3 linked regions of the Caenorhabditis elegans genome follow. The protein of the gene in region 1 interacts with the protein of each later gene in a pairwise test. Each region holds a gene or a part of one and is shown on either strand. Other genes may lie near its edges. The genes, in order: paa-1, T09B9.4 and T22D1.5.

Region 1 (7,166 bases):
CACATTCGTACTGAAAAACTGGAAAGTATTAGCTGTTTAGGAGAAATTTGTGGTTTTTGAATAGGGACCAAGGTTTGAAAGGTTGTTTGGTAGTTTTTTCCCTGTTTTTGAAGTTTAAAATTGATTTTTTTTTGAAGTACAATTTTATAAATAATAATTTTATTTTCCTGTTACTTTAAAAACACTTTATTCGCCAATTTAGCCTAGATTTTAACTTTTATTTTTGGAATTTCAGTACGTTATGCTTTTTAAAAATTGTCTAAAAAACTATGGAACACATCAGTGAACTTTCCAAAAAAAATGAAGATTTTTAGCCATGTTGATATTTCTCTCAAAAATTAAATTAGTATTTTAAAGTAAAAAATGTTGTATACATTTTTTCAAAAATCGTTTTAAAGTAACAATCCCGTAGTTAGAGCGGTAAAATGTCTTTTTTTTTTAATATAATACCCGAACAGAAGTCATCCGTGGCTCCCTGTATTCCTCCAAATCACAGAAAGTCCCACTCGTGTACGTTTCCTCGACGAAAAGCAATCGATCATCCGTTGATTCTTGATAGGATGGCATTTTGAGACTTCCATCGAACAATCCGAGTATATTCTTTACATATCCCTCCTGACCAGCTGCAATATATATGTATATTGATTGGTTTATTTTCCTATTATTGACACTCACGTTCTCCGTGCACTTGCTCAATTGTCTGTCCACGGCACAGAATATAAGACCACCAGTGATTACCACGTAGTTTCACACATTTGTCCACGTAAAAGCTTGCGGCGAGCGCGTCTCCATAGATTTTCGGATTCTTGCTGCTTTTTGGTTTGTCTTTCTGAAACCAGACAATATTTGAGACCGTTTATGCGTTTTTAATGTCTGAATACTGAAATAAAACTCTTATTAGCGTATTTTCACTGATTGTTTATAAATTATGGTGAAAATTTAAAAAATTAAGCGAAAAACTCGAAAACGTGACTTTCGAACTAATATTATCGCTGTAATGAAACAAAGAACACCTAAAGTCAACTGTAAACAACACGCTACAAATTTTTGCCGATTTTTACAACAAAGCACAATATTTAATCTAAAAATGTGTACCTTAACATCTTCCACATCTGGCAAAGAACATGCAAACTTCTGCCCTCCTTTACTCGTCACAAACATCAAATTCTGCTCGGTCGAGTCATCGGGAATCCGATTAACAATTCGCTTTTCGAGATCATCAATATTGCTGGCTGTAACTTTTCGAATATCCAATTCCGGGGCGAACCAAAGAAAATTCTCGCCAATATTCGCGTCATAAGAGACCCGTCGGTACTCTGCAAGGTCAAATACGCCTGCCGTGGCGGTCGTGGACGGCAGCAGGAATAGTTGGAGGAAATAAATTATCATCGTCTTGGCATAGCACCTGCAAAGAGAAACTACGTAAACAATTCTCCGATTGAATTGAAAAATTGAAAAGTAAATGCGAACAGTTTTTTAATTGGAAAAAATAATTTTGGCAACGAAAACTTCTAGCCACGTGGCAAAATCTGAGCACTGGAAGTTTCTGAGACAATCAATCGGGAAACTGCGCGTTTAATATAAATTTATGCCCGCTCTTTGCCAGCTGGATTTGCCAAACGGCCAAAAAGATGGTTTCAAAGTTCCAAATGGCAAAAGTAAATTTTTTATTTGAATGAGACGTTTCACAACGCTTGCAACTTGAGCAATATTTAATCCACGTTGCAAAAGCACCGAGATTCTCTGCTCAAAAGCTTCTGCGACGTGGCATACGCCGGATAACACCATTATTCCAAATATTTTCAGAGATTTCAACCACACTGATCTAACCTAACCTGAGACCTTTTTTCTCATAATAGACGATGACCTTTTATTCTGCAAAAAAAATAAATGAATGAATGGGTCGCAATGGAAAAAGTGGTGATTGTGTGTGGTGGAAAAAGAACAGAAAGAAGTAGGATGGTGAAATATACGGGATAGAAGTGGGAGGAAAATGAAAATAATCATAAAGAGAGGTCGCATAATTTAACGATTATAATTTGTATTGTTTTGTTGTGGGAGGGACGGTGGTTAGAACTATTACAATACAGAGTTTTGTCTCGAGGGCTAAACATTTACAAATGAATGAGGAGAGATAGAGATTATTCGCGTGCTCGGGAACAAAAATGGAAAAATAAGACGATTGAGAAGTGGAAGATGTAGAGATTCCAATTTGACTAGCGATATGTTCGATTACAAGCCGAGTGCTGAAAATGTTCAATTTCAAATTCACTCTAAATTTTAAGACAACTGAAACTTACAGTTCTTGGCTTCCTCTGAAAAGTATCGAACGTCAAAGTCTGAATCTTTTCCGAGCTTCTCGAGCAGTGGCTTCACCTCGGACGTCAATGTACTGAAAATAGAAAATTGGGATAGTGAAAAAGATTTTCCTGTCACCTTGGGGTCAAGTTCTTTCCAATTCGCTTCAAACTCTTTGCGGCGTTGAATCTGACATTCGGCACGTCATCCTCGACAAGCTGAAATTAGAAAAATTACGATTTCTTTAAATAAAAAAGTAAAATTTCCCTACATCTTTCACAATTGGCATAATCTCCTTCAGAATCTGCTCCTGAGTCATCGCCTCACTGAGTGTATTCAAACAGAACAAGCATGTCATTCTCTGCAGGTAGTTGGTGTCCTTCTGAAGTTTCTGCATTTTTGGTACAATATTCGTGCTAGCCCATTGTCCTCCAAACTTCTGTGTCAGTTCCTTCATGATGAGGGTCGATGCCTCGCGGATTGAGAACACTGGAAAAAATTAAATTAAAAACATTTTTAAGAAAAAATCAAGTTACCATGGTCGGTAAGCCAGTTCAAACAAAGCGGAAGCAACTTCTCATCGAAGAATTCTTGTCCCAACTGGGAAGCAAGAAGTGGCATGAATTGAACAATTGCGAGTCGAACTCTCCATTTTCCATCCTCGGCCAATCCAACGATGGCTGGCAAGAGGGATGTGGACAATTGAGCTGCTCCGATCACTTCATTGACCTTATCAAGACTGGAAATAATATTGAGGCGAACTTCTGGGGTTTGATCGTTAAGCAACTGCATGTAGATTGGGAGAAGCTCAGAGACAGTTTGTTCCTTGCCAATCAGTGGAGCAAGTCCCATGATGACACCGGCGAGTTCCGACTTGACGAGCTGATTCCCATCAGTAACCAATTCCTTGGCAACGTTGAGCAGTGAGTTGCAGATAATGTTCTGACGCTTGTCCTCTGGCAAGTTGAGAGCGAATTCCTGAAGTCTCTGAGTGGCAGCACATCTAACCTCACCCTCTGGATCCTTGAGAAGGTTCGTGTACATGTTAACGAGATGTGTGGTATCCATATCCTCACCGAGGACATTCTGAATCTCGATAAGCTTCTCGGCAACCATATAACGAACTCTCCACGACTTGTCATCGAACAATTCAATGAGAATTGGCTCGATGAGTTTCTTCTTGTTAGCCTTATCGAGGAGAGTTCCGAAAGCGATGGCTGACTCGACAGTGAGCAAACGAACAGAATCTTGCTCATCAACATGAAGATCAGTGAGACTGGAGTGGAGACCCTCGATGACGGCAGTCTTCTCAAACACCTTTGCGAACTCTCCGAGCTTTGCAGCAGCAGCACGGCGAACCATTGGGGTGTCATCACGGCACAGGGTTCGGAACATGCTGAAAATAATTAATTTAGATTGCTTTAGTTATTCTTTTCTTAATTCTCACCTCTTCAATTCCGACTTGATAGCTGGACTGACACGTGGATAAACAACAGAGAAAAGCCCACAAGCCGAGGTACGGGATGTGAACCAGTCTCCAGTGGCCAAACGTCTGAGCATCGGCACGAAATGCTCCTCCAATGAGGCCGAGCTGTGCTTGTCGGCGATTTTGCGGAGACTCTCAACGGCTTTGTCACGGACCACGGTCTCCTCGACTGTGGCCAAGTTCTCAAGTGGAAGGAGAAGACAATGAACATGATCTGGACCACCGACCAATGGAGTGAAATTTCCGAGTTGCTCGGCGAGCACAAGCAGAACCTCATCTTCGTCGTAAATCGTGTCGGTCAAAAATTGGATGAGCTCGTTGCGTGTGCGCTCCACACCCAACGCCAAAGCGATTGTGGAGAGTTTGCGAATGCTGTTCAGTCGCAACGTGACATCTTCGTTGCGCAGCTCGTCAATGAGCACGGCAATCGGGTAGAGCGCGTCGTCAGTGGCTTCTTCGACAACCGACATGATGAAGAGTGCTGAAATTTGTTTTATGAAAATTAATCTCGCGGCTATTCAAAGGAGAAAGAACGGGAAGAGAAACGGATTATCATCGGGCATGAGGAGAACAAGAGAGAGAGAGGAGACGCAGTGAAGATAACACAGCAATGTGTTGAAATATTGATTACCGGGTGGTTTTTGGAGAAATAAATTGGAGAGAAAATAGAAAAATTGAGTATTTTGAAAGAACTTGCAGAATCTACGAATAGTCATCTTTGAATATCTGATATTAAGAAAATTAAATTCAAATTTAAGAATGTTCAGTGCTAGAAAACATATTTTTGTTGAAACATTATTATTTCTGTACGAAAATATAGAAAATCAATGAAATGGAATTGTTCAAAGAAGAAGAGTGTGATTTTTAAAGAAACTATTGGAATTTTCGAGAAATCAGTGAAAAACTCTACCACGTGGACAATATTTTCACTGATCTTTCGAAAATCAACTCTGAAACTCGTGAAATTTCGATATTAAGAAATCGCTATAGTGAACCTGACGAACATGCAAAAAAAGAGCGGCGAAAGGAGAAGAAGAGAAACAGCTGCGACAGTGATACGCAGAGAAGCAGAGAACGGCCATCTCTCTCTCACTGCAATAGCACAATCCATCGCGCCTGCGGTCGTAGAGCTCTCATCGATTTGTCGTCGGTTTCGGTGTACTGGACGTGGCGACGACAGAGGGAACAGCGCCGGAAAATGACTGAAAATGTCCTTAAAATAGAATATTTTCAGTGTAGAAGGGAGGATGAAAACACAGGCATCACGTGATTAGTGAACAGCCAGTTTTTTTCTGATATTTAAACAATAAAAAGGCTGAAAATTAATTTGATTCGAATTTTCAGGCAAAACGCGTGGGCATGCTGTTAGAAGAACATCATTAAACATTTAAAATCATCATGGTTTCCTGGTTTTCAAAAATTTCAAACAGGCGAACAAAAGAGAAAAGGACGTCAAAAGCTTTAATAAAATATGCAAAAGTGAGTGCACAATCGAGCTTTTGGTTCTCATTTTTCGCAAAAGCGTGGTGCTCTAGTACGTATTCTTCTCATTAGCTCAGTTTATATATTTACAGAACAGTACAATGGGAGACGGTGCGAATGTGTTCAACACATTCAGCTTCAACAAATGGGCAGACGGCAAGCGTGAAGAGGAGATAGATAAGGAAAGTAGACGGCGACGAGCCGAGCAGGTTTGTGGTGGCTCTCCAAGGTGTATACTAGTGGCTTAATGACAGATTAAACGACTGAAGGAAAGGCTTCGAAAGGAGAGAGCACTGCGTGAGGCTCAAGGTGATGGAGATCTTGATTTGGATGCATTGATTGAGGCGTTACAAAGAGGAGAAGTTATCAATATACGTATGTCAAAATTATTTATTTTACTATTTAAAAACAGTGATAGAATCTTAATCACATCAGGTTTCTAATTGTTACTAATTATGTTAACTGTTCTTACAACCAAGATTTATAACATGAATAGAGAAGGATATTTGATAATTTGGATCCTATTTCAGCTCAACAAACCGATGTAATTGTAACCGAACCTATCGAGGAAACTTCTAAAAGAAAACGAGGGGTGCCAGATAATTTGTCAGATGATTATATCTTTAATGAAATAAATCTCTACGCAAATCGCTCGATCGGCTTGAACAATATTGCAGAGCCGGTGGACATAGCGCCTGTTCCACTACAAAAATTAGGTGAGGAAATTCAAGAAAAACCAATTTAAAATCTACTGTAAATTCAGATCCACTCTCCTTCCGTTATAATCGAAGAAATCAGAATAACGAAATGATCGCCAATGAGGAGCAAATTGTTCAACACCGGCCGAATAACTTCAAGTTTAATAGAATGATACAGGATATTCAAAAATGATTTTTTTTTTCGAAATGATTAATAAATTCTTATACTCTCTCCAAATGATCACAGCAACTAGGCAGAAAAAATGAAGGATGACTCAAACGTTTTAAATTTCGAAACTATTGGAACTAAATGTGTATTTCGGAATAATTAATAAAATGGATTTTAAAAAACTTGTCAACCTCTCACTTCCGAATACAACCAATCTTCGATGAATGAGACAAAAAAGTTGTTTTCAAGAAATAGTTTCAGATTCGACCCTTACTTTGCTTAAAGGTTATTTGGACTTATTTAAAAAGTTATATTACTTTTATTTAATCGTATTTTGATTTAAAAATGTGCGCTTTTGGTGGGAGAAACAAATAAAAATAGCGAAATATTGCAAAAAATAAAAAAATAAGGATAAAAATTGGCGAAAAATGTTCGAAAATTCAGATTTGCGGTGGAGCGCGTTTGCATTGCAAAAACTCGCGCCAACCTAAAAAAGATTACCGCGCCCGCGAGTTCATATTTATTCAAATCAGCCCTGTTTTGAATTTATTTCAAGCAGAAAGTGCTTTTTCCCTTATTTACCACCTAAATACTACACCTCATATCTACTCAAACAAAATGTCTCGTGTCATAGGAAGACTTCCATCAACTCTAGAAGATAACGGACCCTCTGAAAATGAGCATTGCGTGGAGACAGGTAATTGTGTGTCAAAATTCAAATATGATTGACTTTTTCAAAGTATTCTCAGATGAGACCATCTCCATCTTTCCATGCTACAACCTCTATCCAAAGAAAAGCCTCAGGCTTTCAGTTTCCGGAAAGTAAGCTGCAATTATCTCTTAATTTTCTTAATTTTACGACATTTCAGCTCCGAAAAGCTAAAGTCGATAAATCTGAATTGCAAAAATCTCGTAGAAGATGAAATCGCTCCGATCAAGCGAAAAGACGCACGCAGTATTCAGAATCCGTTCAAAAAGTACAGTATTCCCGATGAGATCACTGAACAAATCTTTTCCAATTTGAAAAAGAAGG
Region 2 (7,589 bases), on another chromosome or scaffold:
CAAAAAAACTCAGCTGGACAAAATAATAGGTGAAAAAAGATGGTGCGAAGGTTCCGTCTGTACTACAACTCATCGTCTGATTCATATAAAAGTGTACTAATTTTGTGTATACTCTTTAAAACCCATGTTTTCGTTACTAAATTCGCAAATTCAAAAAAAAAACCAAAAATTGCATAACATATAAAACGTTTCTGATTGTTTTTTTTGTTAAATTTAGTCATTAGTGGTTGGGGTGACACATAATACCGCCTAATCCTTTACACATGGGCATCCTGAAAGTTGTTAGTACCCATATTTGTCTTTCATGTGATTGTGGTGGTACATTGGTATTTTAACTGAAAATGTATTGCTAGTTAGTTACTTATCAAAACAACAATTTTTGACGCAGTGATAAAAACAATAGCACACAAATTTCGAATCCGTAATAACGTAACAATATTCTCTTCTTTTTTTCATACTTGTTTATCATTTCAAAAAATGAGCAAAAGTAGTTTAGATTGCATAATGCATAAAAAATTTGTATTGAACGTACATTTAAAAAAACGTACACGATAAGCAATATTTTCGCAAGGGAGTGAAGGCTTCTTTTAAAAATAAGTTAATTTCTAATGTATTTTATTAGCCGTTCCACTACTATTTATACACTGACACAGTGCTTTGATATTGTTAATTTATCAAAGCCAAGTATTTTAATAAAAATTCAACAGACATTTGAAAACCTTTTATTGCAATTATTCATAACATTGTGACAATTTTCCGATTAACGTCTAACAACTTTTACATGATACTCTGAAAATTGTTAAATTTGAAAGTATTTTCTATTCGGAGATTTTTTGGTTTTTTTTTTTTGAGAAAAATCACATTTGGTTTTAAAAAGGGACTGACAATGATTTTGAAATAGCTTGAAATAATTTAAAAAAATCATTACAATAATTGCTCATTATGGAATTTGTAATTTTATACTACTTGTGTGTTTGATATTCAAAATAAATTCGATTTGTTTTTTCATTATCTCACTAAATGTTTTCAAAAATTACTACTACCCCACTACATCCCAATAATTCCCATGAATTTAACACTGTAATATATTTTTAAAAAATATATTAAAACTGCCGTTCTAAATTAACAAATTACGAACAGCCTTTTAAAAAATCCGATTAGATTTTGACATTTTTTGATTTATGCATGATTTATGCGAATTGATTTCACTTCAACTTTAGCCCTGTAAAAAACATATTTTGATGCTTTTCCAACAAGTGAACAAGGAAAATTACTTTATGAATCGATAAAACAGATCCATATGAGAGAAACGAATCAGCCCAATGAAAAATCAAATCAACGTTTCAAAGCTTTCAAGAATAAATGTGGGAGCCATAAAACCGAATGAAAATATAAAACGGGACGGGAAGACGCGGTGGGATGGGTGTATGTTCAATATTCCGCAACATTATGCATCAAGCGGTTAAGCATGAGTCTACTTGGTATAATGAACAGGAGCATTTAAAAGAACAAAAGACCGGTGGAGGGATGCTGGATGTGATTTAACATATTTGAGGGAAAGACACATGTAAATGTGTATACCTAATGATTATTGGGACAAAGTGATTAATTCATTGGGAACAAGGCTAGCTAAGCATTGGGTTCTATAAAACAAATCGTCGGATGATGTATTCGAGTAAATGTGCATGGGAAGTGTTTTTTTTTGTCATCGGGGGATATGGTCTAGTAATGAGAATCTGGTCTCTCATTTCTAGCCGGAGTGGCTCTCTGAGTTGGGTGCACAGTTGCCAGGATCGGTGCAACCTGAGCGTGCGGATGCGTATCGTTGTTGATGTTAGCAGTTGAGTTCGATCCTGCACGGCTTGTGCTAGGCTGAACAACGACGGTCGGAGGAGAGGATCCATGTGCTCTTCTCTCGGCAAGCATTCGATGAGGAGGCTCATCTATGCTGTTGTCATGGCTCAATGCAGCAAGTCGCCAAGCAAGAGGTCTGAAATTTTTATTTGTTCGCTCAACCTATTTAAAAGTAAACTAACCCATCAGTGCGAACGGCTTCGATACGAATAGCTTCCAAAACAGCCTCCATCTTCGACATGCGTTGATTCACTGAAAGTAAGATATTTTGTTGGTAAACAAAATAAATACGAATAAAATTGAATTGAAAGTGAGATAAATGTAGGCTGAGAACTGCAACCTTAACGTCTCTTTGAACTTCCATTCAGGTGATAAAGACTTAAAAGAGATAAAGACTATGTTGATCCATCCCAAACATGCATAGGTTTCCTTTGATTTAACATAGGAAGAGCACTTTTAGTAATTCAATAAATAACAACAAGATGTTTTCAAATTTTTTTTCACTAACATTTTTTGACTTCAGCCTCTGTAGCTTGCGATCGACGTCTCTCCTGATTGCACATTCCAACAAGCTTTTTGTTTTCAATGTGCAAATGGGCAGTTTCGTTGAGTTGCTGACGATAAGAAGAAGTGGACTGTTGGTCAGTGTTTCTAACAAGTGGCGAGCTGGTGCTGACTGCGGGCGAGTTGGTGTTGACCACTGGAGAATTGGCGCTGACATTAGGCGAGTTACCATTACTGAAAAAAACTTATTTGTCTGGCTACAACAATTTTTAAAACTGACTACTTCTGGGAGGCAGATGCATGAAGTGCCACTTCGACAGTGTCGTCGAAATCGACAAAACCGTTCAAGTAGGCCATTTCCAATGCTTGTTGCAACTTCCGCTTCTCCTCGTTCATCTGGCTCATTCTCTTTCCCAGTGTATTGATGAGCAACTCTTGCTCCTGCTCCAAAGCTGATTCATGATCAACTTTTTCAGCACGGAGGCGCATCAATTCCTCCTGATAGCTTTTTTCAGCGCGGCTACAGTACGTGCGAAGACGCTCTATCTCTGCTTGTTTGTCAGCCATAAGCTTCTCGGCAGCAGCTTCATCTCCATGAACATCGGGTATCTTGGCGACATTTGCCATGAGAGATTTGGTGAGAGACTCCTCATCTTTTTGGTACTTCTTGACAAGATAATCCTTGTCTTGGTTCAATTGCTGGATCTTTTTGAGCAAAGAGTTGGAGATATATTCTTCCTCTTGCTCGGCTTTGGTGAACATCTGGACAGCAGCAATGCGGAGCTGCTTGTTTGCTTCCAGGAGCTCCTTGTTCTCGCGTTTTCGCTGAGAGTTGACGTGCTGTAAGGAAGAAACAATAAACTCAACAAATGAAAATTCATTGTTATTTTTTTCAATTTAAGTTTTGCTTGAATGAAAGGTGAGACATCTTCAAAGTCGATAATCAATAAACAAATGAACCAAGTCCCACCTTTTGACGGAAAAAGCGATACATGAGATCAAGCATTTCAAATGGCAATTCTTTGCGCAGTTTCTTGTGATTATCAGGCAGCGGTGTCGTATGATGAACACGGTAGACAGTTCCATTAGACGGTGCTGGTTCGAACCACGTTGGCTGTTCAGCAAGCAAAAACTGGTAGAACTCGGGGTATCTCATTTGAATTTCCCTGTCGGCAAGCAAATCGGGAACACCAATGTTCATCATAATTGTGCGAACTCCGTCTAGATCCTCAGCGTCGCCAACCTCGGCCTCGGAATTGCGGGAGGAGAACATGGATACGCTGGCACCAATTGACGATCCTGGGCTAAAATTTATCAAATTTAAAACGTCAGTAGCAGTCTTTACGGAACATAAAATAACTTTGTGCACATACCTAGGAGCAAACGGTTCGTGACCGCCGGAGTGGCTTCGGTGAACAGAAAATGATGATTCACCTGAAATTAATCATTATCGATTTTACAAGAAAAGTAAAAAAACAACCTCTTCCTGATGCATCAATGTGCAGAGCCTCGTTTTTGGGTGTTGGACGCTTTGGGTGCTCCATTATGAGGTTTTTGACCTGGAAATCAGAATTTAGCCTGGAAACAGCAAGGGATTGGCAAAGACTAGAAAGAAATGAGCACACGAACGACTGTTCAAATGCATATGCGTTCGAAAAAAAGAAGGGGGAGACATTGTTCGGTAGGGCGCGCTTGCATTTTTGTGTCTGCAGACGAGAGAGAGAGGGAGGATTGGTGTGTTGCTGCAGGGGGGTTTTTTAATATTTTTTCCCAAACGTTTTTTTTTTGTTAAAAGAATGTGGCTGAACAATATCATTTTGATAATTTGAAAATCAAAAAAAGCAATGACATTCGTTGCTTATCAAACCATTTCCGTTCAAAAACGTTTTCTGTTTTTTGATAGCACTTTTCGACGACACGTTTTTAGGCTGGTGATAGTTTTAAAGAAAAATTTTGTTAGACCACTTTTGAATCCCGGTTGAGATTTTTTTGAACAAAAAAAAACAATTGACGAGTTGTTTTTCCTTATAGTGAAACCAAGAAAAAAGAAATACCACCCCCAAATTGAAAAGAAGGACAAAATGAGAAACGCAAATGAAGGCAATGAGATGAGGAGATTTGCGTACCCTTCCTGCCACGTAGGAGAGTCTGTCTGATGCACACCCGCTCACAACATCAAAAAATACTCACAATGCACTCACACGCAGACAGGCAAAGTGACCCTCTGAATTGTCCATTCTCAACGAGGGTAAGAGGGAGAAACCAAGTGAGAAAGAAGGAGAGAGAGAGTTTTAAAATTTGGGACAGGTCAGTTGACTGATGAGTAATGAAAGTGGATTAGGTATCTTTTGAGTGTTTGCACATAGACTGGTTCTCACGCTTTTTCTTAAACCGTTCTATGAATGATATCACACTCTAAAGCTAAGGAGAACGGTTTTGTAACAACGAAGGCACTTAAATAAAATACTTTTTTTTAAAAATATTTATTCAAAATTATCATAAACTTATAATAAATCAAAATCACGTTGAAATCTCCTACAGTTAGCGATATTTTGAAAAGAGTATGTTTGCTATTGTACTTATAGATTTGATGTATAATATCCCAATATTTTTTGAAATGTCACATTGAGTTTATATGAACAGAAAAAAAATTCATCAAGATGTACTGTCACTTGTTATTATCTTGTCTTTAAATGAATTTATTGACCACGGTATGCCAGAAATAACCAAAAAAGAACAAGAAAACATTGATTAAAACTAAAAATCTGATGCAAACGTGTTTTCAATTTGAATATATTCCTAAATTCTATGTTTCAAAATCTAAATGAGAAATTTTAATTGAACGCAAATTATTACTGTTTCTGAATGTTAAACAGTGTCAGAAAGAAAATACAAAAAACTAGTTTTGAAAATTTTGGCTCCAATTCTAAATATCTTCACTTAAGCCTCTTTTTGAGTAATTTACAGCAGTAACTTCTTCATTGGCAGTCCATTTTTAGATGCAAAATTGAAACTATCAAAATTACTTACTACATGGTTTTGTCCGCAGTTCCTTATCTTCATGCTGAGCATTTTTGCAAGCAATAATTTGAGCCTGAAAAACTAAAAATCAAAATTTAAACGAATGTATAAAACATAAATTTTGAATGGAAAAAGAACATTCATTTTCTGTTGCCGTGAAAAAAAAAATGTCGAGCGGCAAAATTGAAGGCGTTAAGAAGTGGAGGCACTCGTTGACGGCGTGGAAATTGAACGCTTTGTGGGTTTATGCTTGTGGCCCGGACAATTGACATTTCATGAACACGCGAGGGCTCTTTTTTTGTGATCTGAGCTGAATTGGAATTTTGAAGAAAAAACCGACAAAGCAGAAATACATCAAAATTTTTGAATTATATTTACATTATGAATTTATTTGGAGACTGAAGTTCCATTCAGAATTTATATTTTTCAACATCCCTGAAAGCGGTCACTTCATCAAACTAAAAATTTAAAAAAAACACGGGACGAAATCCGAAATCTTGGAAAATGCGTCTTGAACAAATATGATTTTATGTAACTGGATTGGGAAATGGATGGAAGATTTTAATAATTCCATTTCTATTTAAATATTTCCGTATTTAAACTTCAAGGTTTGGCGATAATAAAAAATTTGTGGTGTCATAAAATGCAAAAACCAGATATTTATATATCGATTGCGTTTGTTTTATATTTACAAATATCAAACAACGTTGTCAGTCTAAAAACAGTGGGAATGTGAATATTGAAAAGTGAAAAAATTATTTTCACTGGAAATGAAAAAAAAAGACTTTGTCGATCAAAGAATCAAATTCCCCGTTTTAATCCGAACTAATTCTATTTGTTCGACATATATGCGAATATCAGTTTTAATCCATTTATTAAGTTGAAATTATCATTTGATATATTAATTATTGCTTATAAGAACATTCTTCAATGTAACATTTTTGGTGTTTGTTAAAAAAAAATCATGAAATTAATAAGATGTAATTGACAATTTTAATTTTTTTTAAACTTTCGACAAACTGAGAAAGTTTACGCAAAATTGACCTTCTTAGAAAATTTAAAGCAGCTTCATATGTTCAAAAAGTTACACTGTTTGGATTCAAATAATCAATAAATGAACATCGTTGAAGAAAATAATTTTCCAATGATATGATAGGCACAAGGAAGAACATTTTTAATGAAGAAAAGTCAAAATGCGACCTTTTAAACGCTATGAAGTTTTAATTAAAAAGTTTGAAAATTGCACTGAACAAAAAAAAATTTTAGAAGAAAGCGGTATAATTCGGATGGCTGCATGACCGAATATGATATGTTAGAACAAATTTGAGTGGATTTATGAGTACAATAACATGTTTTCCAGATTGTGCATGTCCATTTCCCGACAAGAAATGTTCGAGAAAAGGTTTGCGTTCCTGTCTTTATGAGCCTACACATGACGTGGACCTTCAATGAAGCAAAATCAAGGATGTTCATTATGTTCATCTTGAATTTGAAACTATTATTTTAAAAAAATGTTTCTTTGATCTTGTTTTTTCTACTCCATAAGTGAAAATATGAAATTTTTTTAAAAACTTCTTGACCCATGCATACCAAAAACATGTTTGCTCGAGGCAGCCAATTTTTCTGCGAATCCAATTTGGCGAGAAGTGTATACACTCTGCATATTCTATCTTCACTGAGTTTTCATCTTTTTTTAGATAATTTTCATGTTTTTTGGATTGGATCCACAAATACTCCAAAGCTTGGTGGCAAAATAAGTATTTTCAATCTCCCTCCAAATCGTTTAATTTTTTTCTTTATTTGTGTATATTTCTGTTGTTGTTGTCTGCACGATAAAGGGGAGGAAGAAGAGTTCGCCGGATTTTGAAAAAGAATCAGATAGCGATAGCGTGTCTGCATTGCTTAATAGACTCCCCGGAAACAGAGCCTAGGACACTCCGCTACTGAAGCTTCACAACAAAAGCAAAAAAGAATTCAGCTCGTCTTTCTCTTTTTGCAGTTTTGTATAGACTTGCCATTATTTCAAACTTGCAGACAAAATGCTAACCACTCCAAATCCCGATTTATGTGTAGAACCATTTATTGAGCCTTCCCAATGGTTTTTCACATTAGTTGAAATGATTCTAGCTGTAGGAGGATTGATAATGAATACCAATATTACTGTGATTTGTCATAAAGCGTCACCAATGCCACATCCACAAAGGAGGTTA
Region 3 (6,193 bases), on another chromosome or scaffold:
GTGCTGTTCCCTTGGCGTTGTCACTTCTCTCCGTCTCAAATCCTCAATTGAACATTTTGGAAACTCTGTCCAAGTTCTCTCACGATTCTGACGCTGATACCGCTCACAATGCTATTTTCGCGATGGGACTTGTTGGAGCAGGAACAAACAATGCTCGTCTTGTTGCTATGCTCCGAAACCTGGCTTCTTATCACTACAAGGATCAAGTTTCTCTAATGCTGGTCAGAATTGCACAAGGACTTACTCATCTCGGAAAAGGAACAATGACGTTGAACCCATGGCATTCTGATAGGCAATTATTGTCTCCAAGTGCTTTGGCTTCTCTCCTTTCAATTTGCTTCTCTTTCCTCGACGCCAATAACACGGTTAGTGCAAGATTGATATTTCTACCATAATTTATTTCAAATTTAGATTCTCAACAACCGTCAGCATTACTTGCTCTACACGTTGGTGCTCGCAATGCAACCAAGAATGCTTACCACACTGGTAGAAGACGAAATGAAGCCTGGAAGCTTGAAACAGGTATAATTTTTTTAAAAGTTTCAACTCTCCAATGTGATTTTACAGTTGAACGTTTCTGTTCGTGTTGGTCAAGCCGTTGACGTTGTTGCTCAAGCCGGAAAGCCAAAGACAATCACTGGATTCCAAACTCATACTACGCCAGTCTTGCTTGCCCATGGTGAACGTGCCGAGTTGGCGAACGATGAATGTATGCCATCCTAACATTTGATAATTAATTTTTAACTAAAATATTTCAGATCTCTCTGTGACTCCACATCTTGAAGGATTGGTTATTTTGAAGAAGAATCCAGATTATCAGCCGGTTGTTGTATCAACTAAGAAGTAACCAACAAATTTATGGATCTAATTTATTTTTCTCCCCCTTTTCTCCCATCTAAATTATCCGTTTTGACCCGTTTTATTGTGCACAATCCGATTGCATTCGCTCTCTGCCCGATTTCCCGTTTTTCTGTCAATTTTCCCTCTCCCTCATCATTTTTTCTTTGAAAAAAACGTGTACACTTTAAATTTGAGTGGGACGGTATTCGAGTAAATTATTACTTTCAATCTTATCATCCTGGGTTTTATATATGTATTAATATTTATTGATCACAGGAATTTGAAGATCTTCTAGGTATCCTTATCAAAGTATCGAATATATCAGAAAATCCGTCAAGGTGGCGATTGTTCGACATTAGATTTTCAGCATCGTTCGCATACATCTGGAAATAAAATTTAGAATGTTCAAATGTGAGTTTGGAAATTTTAGTTTTTCAGTTTTTAGAAAAGTTTAATGAATTATTACACTCACCTCAAAAGTAGCCTTTTTATCCATAAAAACATCTTTCATTTCATCAATTTCATTAATAATATCACTTGTCAAATATATAACAACAAGTGTCATAATTGCCATAAAACATAAAATTCCAATAGCAGCAAAATCAGCGATGAAACGAAATTTGTATAAAAATTCGGATGTATTCATAGTTTCGAAAAAACTATAAAGTTTCAAAATTTGATGTATTAAATGGAAAAGTAATAGAAAGAAGAAGCAAATGACCAATACAATTAGACAAAGAATTGAAAACTACAGAAAACAGGTGATAAAAGATAAGAAAAAGTGAAGAGATTTAGAGATATTTGTAGAGACTAACCAGTTTGACGAACTATAGAAGTGAATTGTGTAAACTTTTAGACTTTTTGTGATTCAAAAAAAAACAGTTTGAACATTTGAAATCACAGTATTATTTAAAGGTGCAGTGTTTAGCAAAAAATTATCGTAACGAGACCCGGTCACCATATTTCCGGCACAAAAATCTAACAAATAATGTTATAAGCCCATTTCATAGTTTTTAACATTTCCCACCAATCTAATCGTTTTGAAAACCCATTAATTTTTTTCAAAAATATTCTTGCAGGTTCAGTAAAACGAGATGAGCAGGAACAATCTTATTGTTTACATGAATCCGCCTGACATTTTACAAGAATACTGAAATTTGTGAAAATTGCACATAAGATATGGGACCAGGCGATTAAATACAATAGGGAATGATTATCTGACATGATTAAACTTTAGGATTACTTAAACAGGATTTATTGGTTCGTTATTGATGTTGAACGACCCTGATGATGACGTGCTGGATTGAGCATAGTAATCGTCAAATTTGTGGTCGATCAAACGTTGCCAACGAGTCCGAACCATCCCAAATTCCTCATCATCTTGGCGTTCGGTGTTCGTTTCTGAAAGCAGTGTTATTAACATAAACAACCATTTTATCTTATTAAAACATACTCTCACAAATTTCCTGCTCAAGAAAGCGAAGAGCGCAGACAAAGCCATTGATCACTCTGAAGGCAAGTTGCGAGTTCTTTTTGAATGATTGCAGATTCCATTTGTCTGTGCCAAGGATGTCCCGAAATTGAGCGATAGCGTTTTCGAACGGCAGGGATTGCACATTGTTATTGACAAGAAACTTTGTGATGGCATCGTAGAACATCCGCAGGTCGTCCAATTGAAGGATTCCTGTAGATTGCACATCAAGGACGCGGAACCAATACTCGATCGATTGATTCTCGTCAGTCCCAATCATCGCAAATATGAGCCACGTCACTTCTTTCGTATCGAGATAGTTTCCCGTTGAACGACGCACTAGGTTACTCGAGAAGATTCGGTCGACGATTATTGTTGGAATACCGGTTTCGTAGCAGTAAATGGCGATGGCATTCGAATCAAATATCTCATCCCATTTGCCAATATGATTGAGCTCGACTGCGCAGAGTTGTCCGGTGTGCCTACAATTTTAATAATTAAATGACTAATCTGAGATTATAGCCGATTACTTCATGTACCAATCCTCGCATGCATAACGCACGTAGTCATTTAGAAGATCTTTAGTCTTAACTTGAATCGTTCCCGTCCACGTTCGCCCAGCAGTCCAGAGTATACGCTCAGTGACCTGAAATGTTATCGATACACAAAATTAAATTAGAAAAATAGAAAATTACAATGATCGAATACATTTCAGCTTCCTCCTTTGAACAGTCCGTTTCAGTCAGTTTCCGCTCGAAAATAGCTGACTGCAATTCTTCGCGTGTGATCACTTCTGAATACGACCGCACTCTTTCGAAAATTGATGAGTTAACAAACTCCAAAGCAGTGTGCATTGAGCACGAAGATGTACTGCTTTCATTTTCGAGTTTCGTCGCTTCTCTGTAACAAAAAATCATGTTTAAATAAATCTGATGATTCAACAAACATGTGCGAATCATCGACTCCAGTGATTGCTTGAGACGTCAGATTTCCGCTGGAGTCATCCGAGCAAGAGGACCACGACTGATCGCGAATCGGAGCTCTCATTCTCGTGAGTTTTGGTGATGACGTGGCAAGCGGGGAAAACAGATGCTGAAAATTTCCAAGAATGAAAAGTATATTCTCCTGAGCTGATAAACATACCGTCGGGAACTTCACATCAATAACAGACTTCATCTGAATCTGCTGGCTCATTTTCACGTGGGATGAGCGTATTTGAACACTGAAAAGCAAATGCTTAAAATGTTATAATTGATTTGAGACAAAAATTCTGGATAAAAAAGTGAAAAAGATGTAATAAAACGCAGAAAAGAACTAAAATGGACTTTCGTAAACAATTTGTCACTAAAAATAAAATTTTCGAGGCTAGCTGTAGATCGTTCCGCGCGAGACCTTCACGAGTGGCGACATGTGTCTTTGAAAACTACAAAAATCAAAAAAATAGGCCTAGAAAATACTAAAAACACGTGAAGCATTTGATAAAATATTTATTTACACCATTTTATAGAGACGTAAACACATTTCAATTCATTTCCTAACAAATAACAATGAATAAACAAACAGTTATACAAAAATATTGGTGGAATCTGATTATCGGGACAATATTTATGTTTATGATCCAAGCAAGTTCTCAAGAATTGAAGGTGAGCATTTTTCAATTTTAGCATCGAAAAAGTAGTAATTTTCAGCTCGTAGGAGATTCAGAACTAGCTATATTCCCTGAAGATGCTCAAAAAGTTTGCGAAAGTCTCAATGGAAATCTTGCAGTGTTGACGGATGAAAATAGGGAATTTTTTGAGGGTAAAACAGTTTTTAAAAATATTTCTCAATCTAGACTTTATTTTAGAGCAACTATTCAGAAACTGTACACCTCATTCAGATTTTTGTCCTAAAATGTGTGTTTTTGAAAATTCATCAGATAATCAATTAGAAGAACTCAAAATACCAAATGGTGTGATTATGACACAACCAGTTCATCTCGGAGACACATTGCACTTGAAACTGAAAATGGAAAATAAAACGTAGGAATTACATTCAAAAAATGGAAATATGTTAATAGCTTTCAGAATGGAAGTCTTCCAACTATCTAATGCAATTATCGAAGATATGGAAAAAGGATCAGAGCAACAAGTTTTTTTAGAATTATCAATTTACAATAGATACGTTGATAAAAGTAAAGCTATAAACCATACAAAAGCTCATAAAGTTAATGTTGGATATGGTGAACTTACAATAACAGAAAAATGGGAACGATCTAAAGTAAGTAGTGTGCAGTATGATTGTTTTAATTGGTCGATATTTTTTAGCATCTAGTAAAGCCGCACAGGCTTGACATAGATCAATCAGGAGATCCCACAATAGACTTGAAATTAGAGTAAGTTCGAAAATATTACTTTTCCATGTAACGTTACCAACCGTAACTTATCGTACTTCCGTCTTTTTTATCTGGTAGATTTGATATTTGGTTTTTCTATAAGATAGAGTAACACCAGTTGGGCTTTTGTATAAATACTCTCATGAAAGTATAGCTAAATGATATCTCACTAATATTTTTTTTTGAGAAACTTATTCTTAACATTGCGCCAATATATTAAAAAATTCAACTTTGTGAAAATATAACTCTTGAAATATTAAAATTCAAACAATTAAAATGTAATGCAAAAATGTGAAAACTTCGAAATTCTTACTTTTTAAACTGTAAATATGAAACGAATCAAAGGGTTTTAAAAGTTTTACTATGATTTTTGCCCATTATAGCAGCATTGTAGTGATTATAAAATCTCCTACTGAGTGTACTTTAATGCTAGGACACTATAGGGTACGGTAGTTTTCCCTTTGACATTCACCGAGTTTGTATATTTTAGGCCAATATTTTCTTAAGTTTTTAATTAGTTTCTAAAGGTTTCCAGCATCCTTCTCAACGTTTTCAAAAAAAAAACTAGCAATAAAATGTGAATATTCAATGTTCTCCACCAGGTGGAGAACATTGAATATTCACATTTTATTGTAGGGGTGGCAAGAGTGCGACCTAGGTCGCTAGGTCGCTGTTTTCATTTAGGTCGCATTGCGACCTGCGACCTAGCGACCTGCGACCTAGCGACCTGGGTCGCATTGCGACCTGAAGTACTGACATTTTGTGCACTTTCGGTTTTGATTCACTTGAGTTGTTAAAATCTGTATAACTCGAAAACTACATAAGATTGCAGAATATGTATACTAACAAATTGCTACAAATCATTTATTTTACATTGTTTTCGATTTCTTATCCATAACACACCTTGTCGAAAAAAGTTAGAACAGCCGACATCCGCCGGATTTGTTGCCGACTAAAATTGTTTCAACTTGAAAACAATGGTACTTATGGGTTTCGTTCCCCCCGAAATGTTTTAACTTTCTAAATTTCAATTTTTTTTTTGTAGAATTGTAGAATTTGTAGAAATCAATGCTTTGCTCTGTGCTTTTTTCTACGTTTTTAATTTGAAAAGTGGAAAATGAAATTTTAGAAACAACGCATAAACTTATAAAATCTTAATAGAGAAAATGTTAGTGGAATATACATATTCTGCAATCTTTAGTTTTCGAGTTATACGGATTTTAACAACTCAAGTGAATCAAAACCGAAAGAGAACAAAATGTCGGTAATTCAGGTCGCAATGCGACCTAGGTCGCTAGGTCGCAGGTCGCAAAGCGACCCAGGTCGCTAGGTCGCAGGTCGCAAAGCGACCCAGGTCGCAAGGTCGCAGGTCGCGATGCGACCTAACCCTCTAGGTCGCAGGTCGACCTAGGTCGACCTATAGCCACCTCTAATTTGCAGTGGTGGACTCCACCACTGTGCAAATAAACTTTGAAAACGCTAATATTTCCTTCTCGTAAATCAAAACA

What was found.
Region 2: the proteins of paa-1 (region 1) and T09B9.4 interact in a two-hybrid assay, tested with the Caenorhabditis elegans proteins (one large-scale study listed by BioGRID).
Region 3: the proteins of paa-1 (region 1) and T22D1.5 interact in a two-hybrid assay, tested with the Caenorhabditis elegans proteins (one large-scale study listed by BioGRID).

The regions. Positions count from the first base shown.
Region 1 is NC_003281.10:5,447,829-5,454,994, reverse strand, and holds paa-1 (putative serine/threonine-protein phosphatase PP2A regulatory subunit), read right to left. Parts: upstream 4,266-7,166; 5' UTR 4,255-4,265; coding exon 3,746-4,254; intron 3,695-3,745; coding exon 2,835-3,694; intron 2,788-2,834; coding exon 2,570-2,787; intron 2,517-2,569; coding exon 2,437-2,516; intron 2,393-2,436; coding exon 2,301-2,392; intron 2,247-2,300; coding exon 2,233-2,246; 3' UTR 1,858-2,232; downstream 1-1,857. Other genes in the region: F48E8.4 (MRH domain-containing protein), read right to left, coding at 1-10, 451-623, 676-829, 1,096-1,389; F48E8.8 (Hsp20/alpha crystallin family protein), read left to right, coding at 5,183-5,263, 5,359-5,475, 5,521-5,641, 5,797-5,982, 6,030-6,157; skpt-1 (F-box domain-containing protein), read left to right, coding at 6,752-6,830, 6,874-6,955, 7,003-7,166. UniProt on the Caenorhabditis elegans protein: Acts as a scaffolding protein for phosphatase let-92 and its regulatory subunits.
Region 2 is NC_003284.9:9,770,436-9,778,024, forward strand, and holds T09B9.4 (uncharacterized protein), read right to left. Parts: upstream 3,918-7,589; 5' UTR 3,903-3,917; coding exon 3,839-3,902; intron 3,793-3,838; coding exon 3,732-3,792; intron 3,663-3,731; coding exon 3,329-3,662; intron 3,199-3,328; coding exon 2,639-3,198; intron 2,593-2,638; coding exon 2,363-2,592; intron 2,107-2,362; coding exon 2,037-2,106; intron 1,991-2,036; coding exon 1,723-1,990; 3' UTR 1,262-1,722; downstream 1-1,261. Other genes in the region: T09B9.5 (uncharacterized protein), read left to right, coding at 7,419-7,589.
Region 3 is NC_003282.8:6,901,290-6,907,482, reverse strand, and holds T22D1.5 (EF-hand domain-containing protein), read right to left. Parts: upstream 3,534-6,193; 5' UTR 3,506-3,533; coding exon 3,455-3,505; intron 3,404-3,454; coding exon 3,258-3,403; intron 3,212-3,257; coding exon 3,007-3,211; intron 2,958-3,006; coding exon 2,842-2,957; intron 2,794-2,841; coding exon 2,294-2,793; intron 2,242-2,293; coding exon 2,084-2,241; 3' UTR 1,937-2,083; downstream 1-1,936. Other genes in the region: rpn-1 (26S proteasome non-ATPase regulatory subunit 2), read left to right, coding at 1-365, 412-522, 568-709, 759-847; T22D1.17 (Col_cuticle_N domain-containing protein), read right to left, coding at 1,104-1,223, 1,313-1,486; T22D1.8 (SRCR domain-containing protein), read left to right, coding at 3,859-3,954, 4,000-4,111, 4,158-4,332, 4,378-4,570, 4,618-4,685.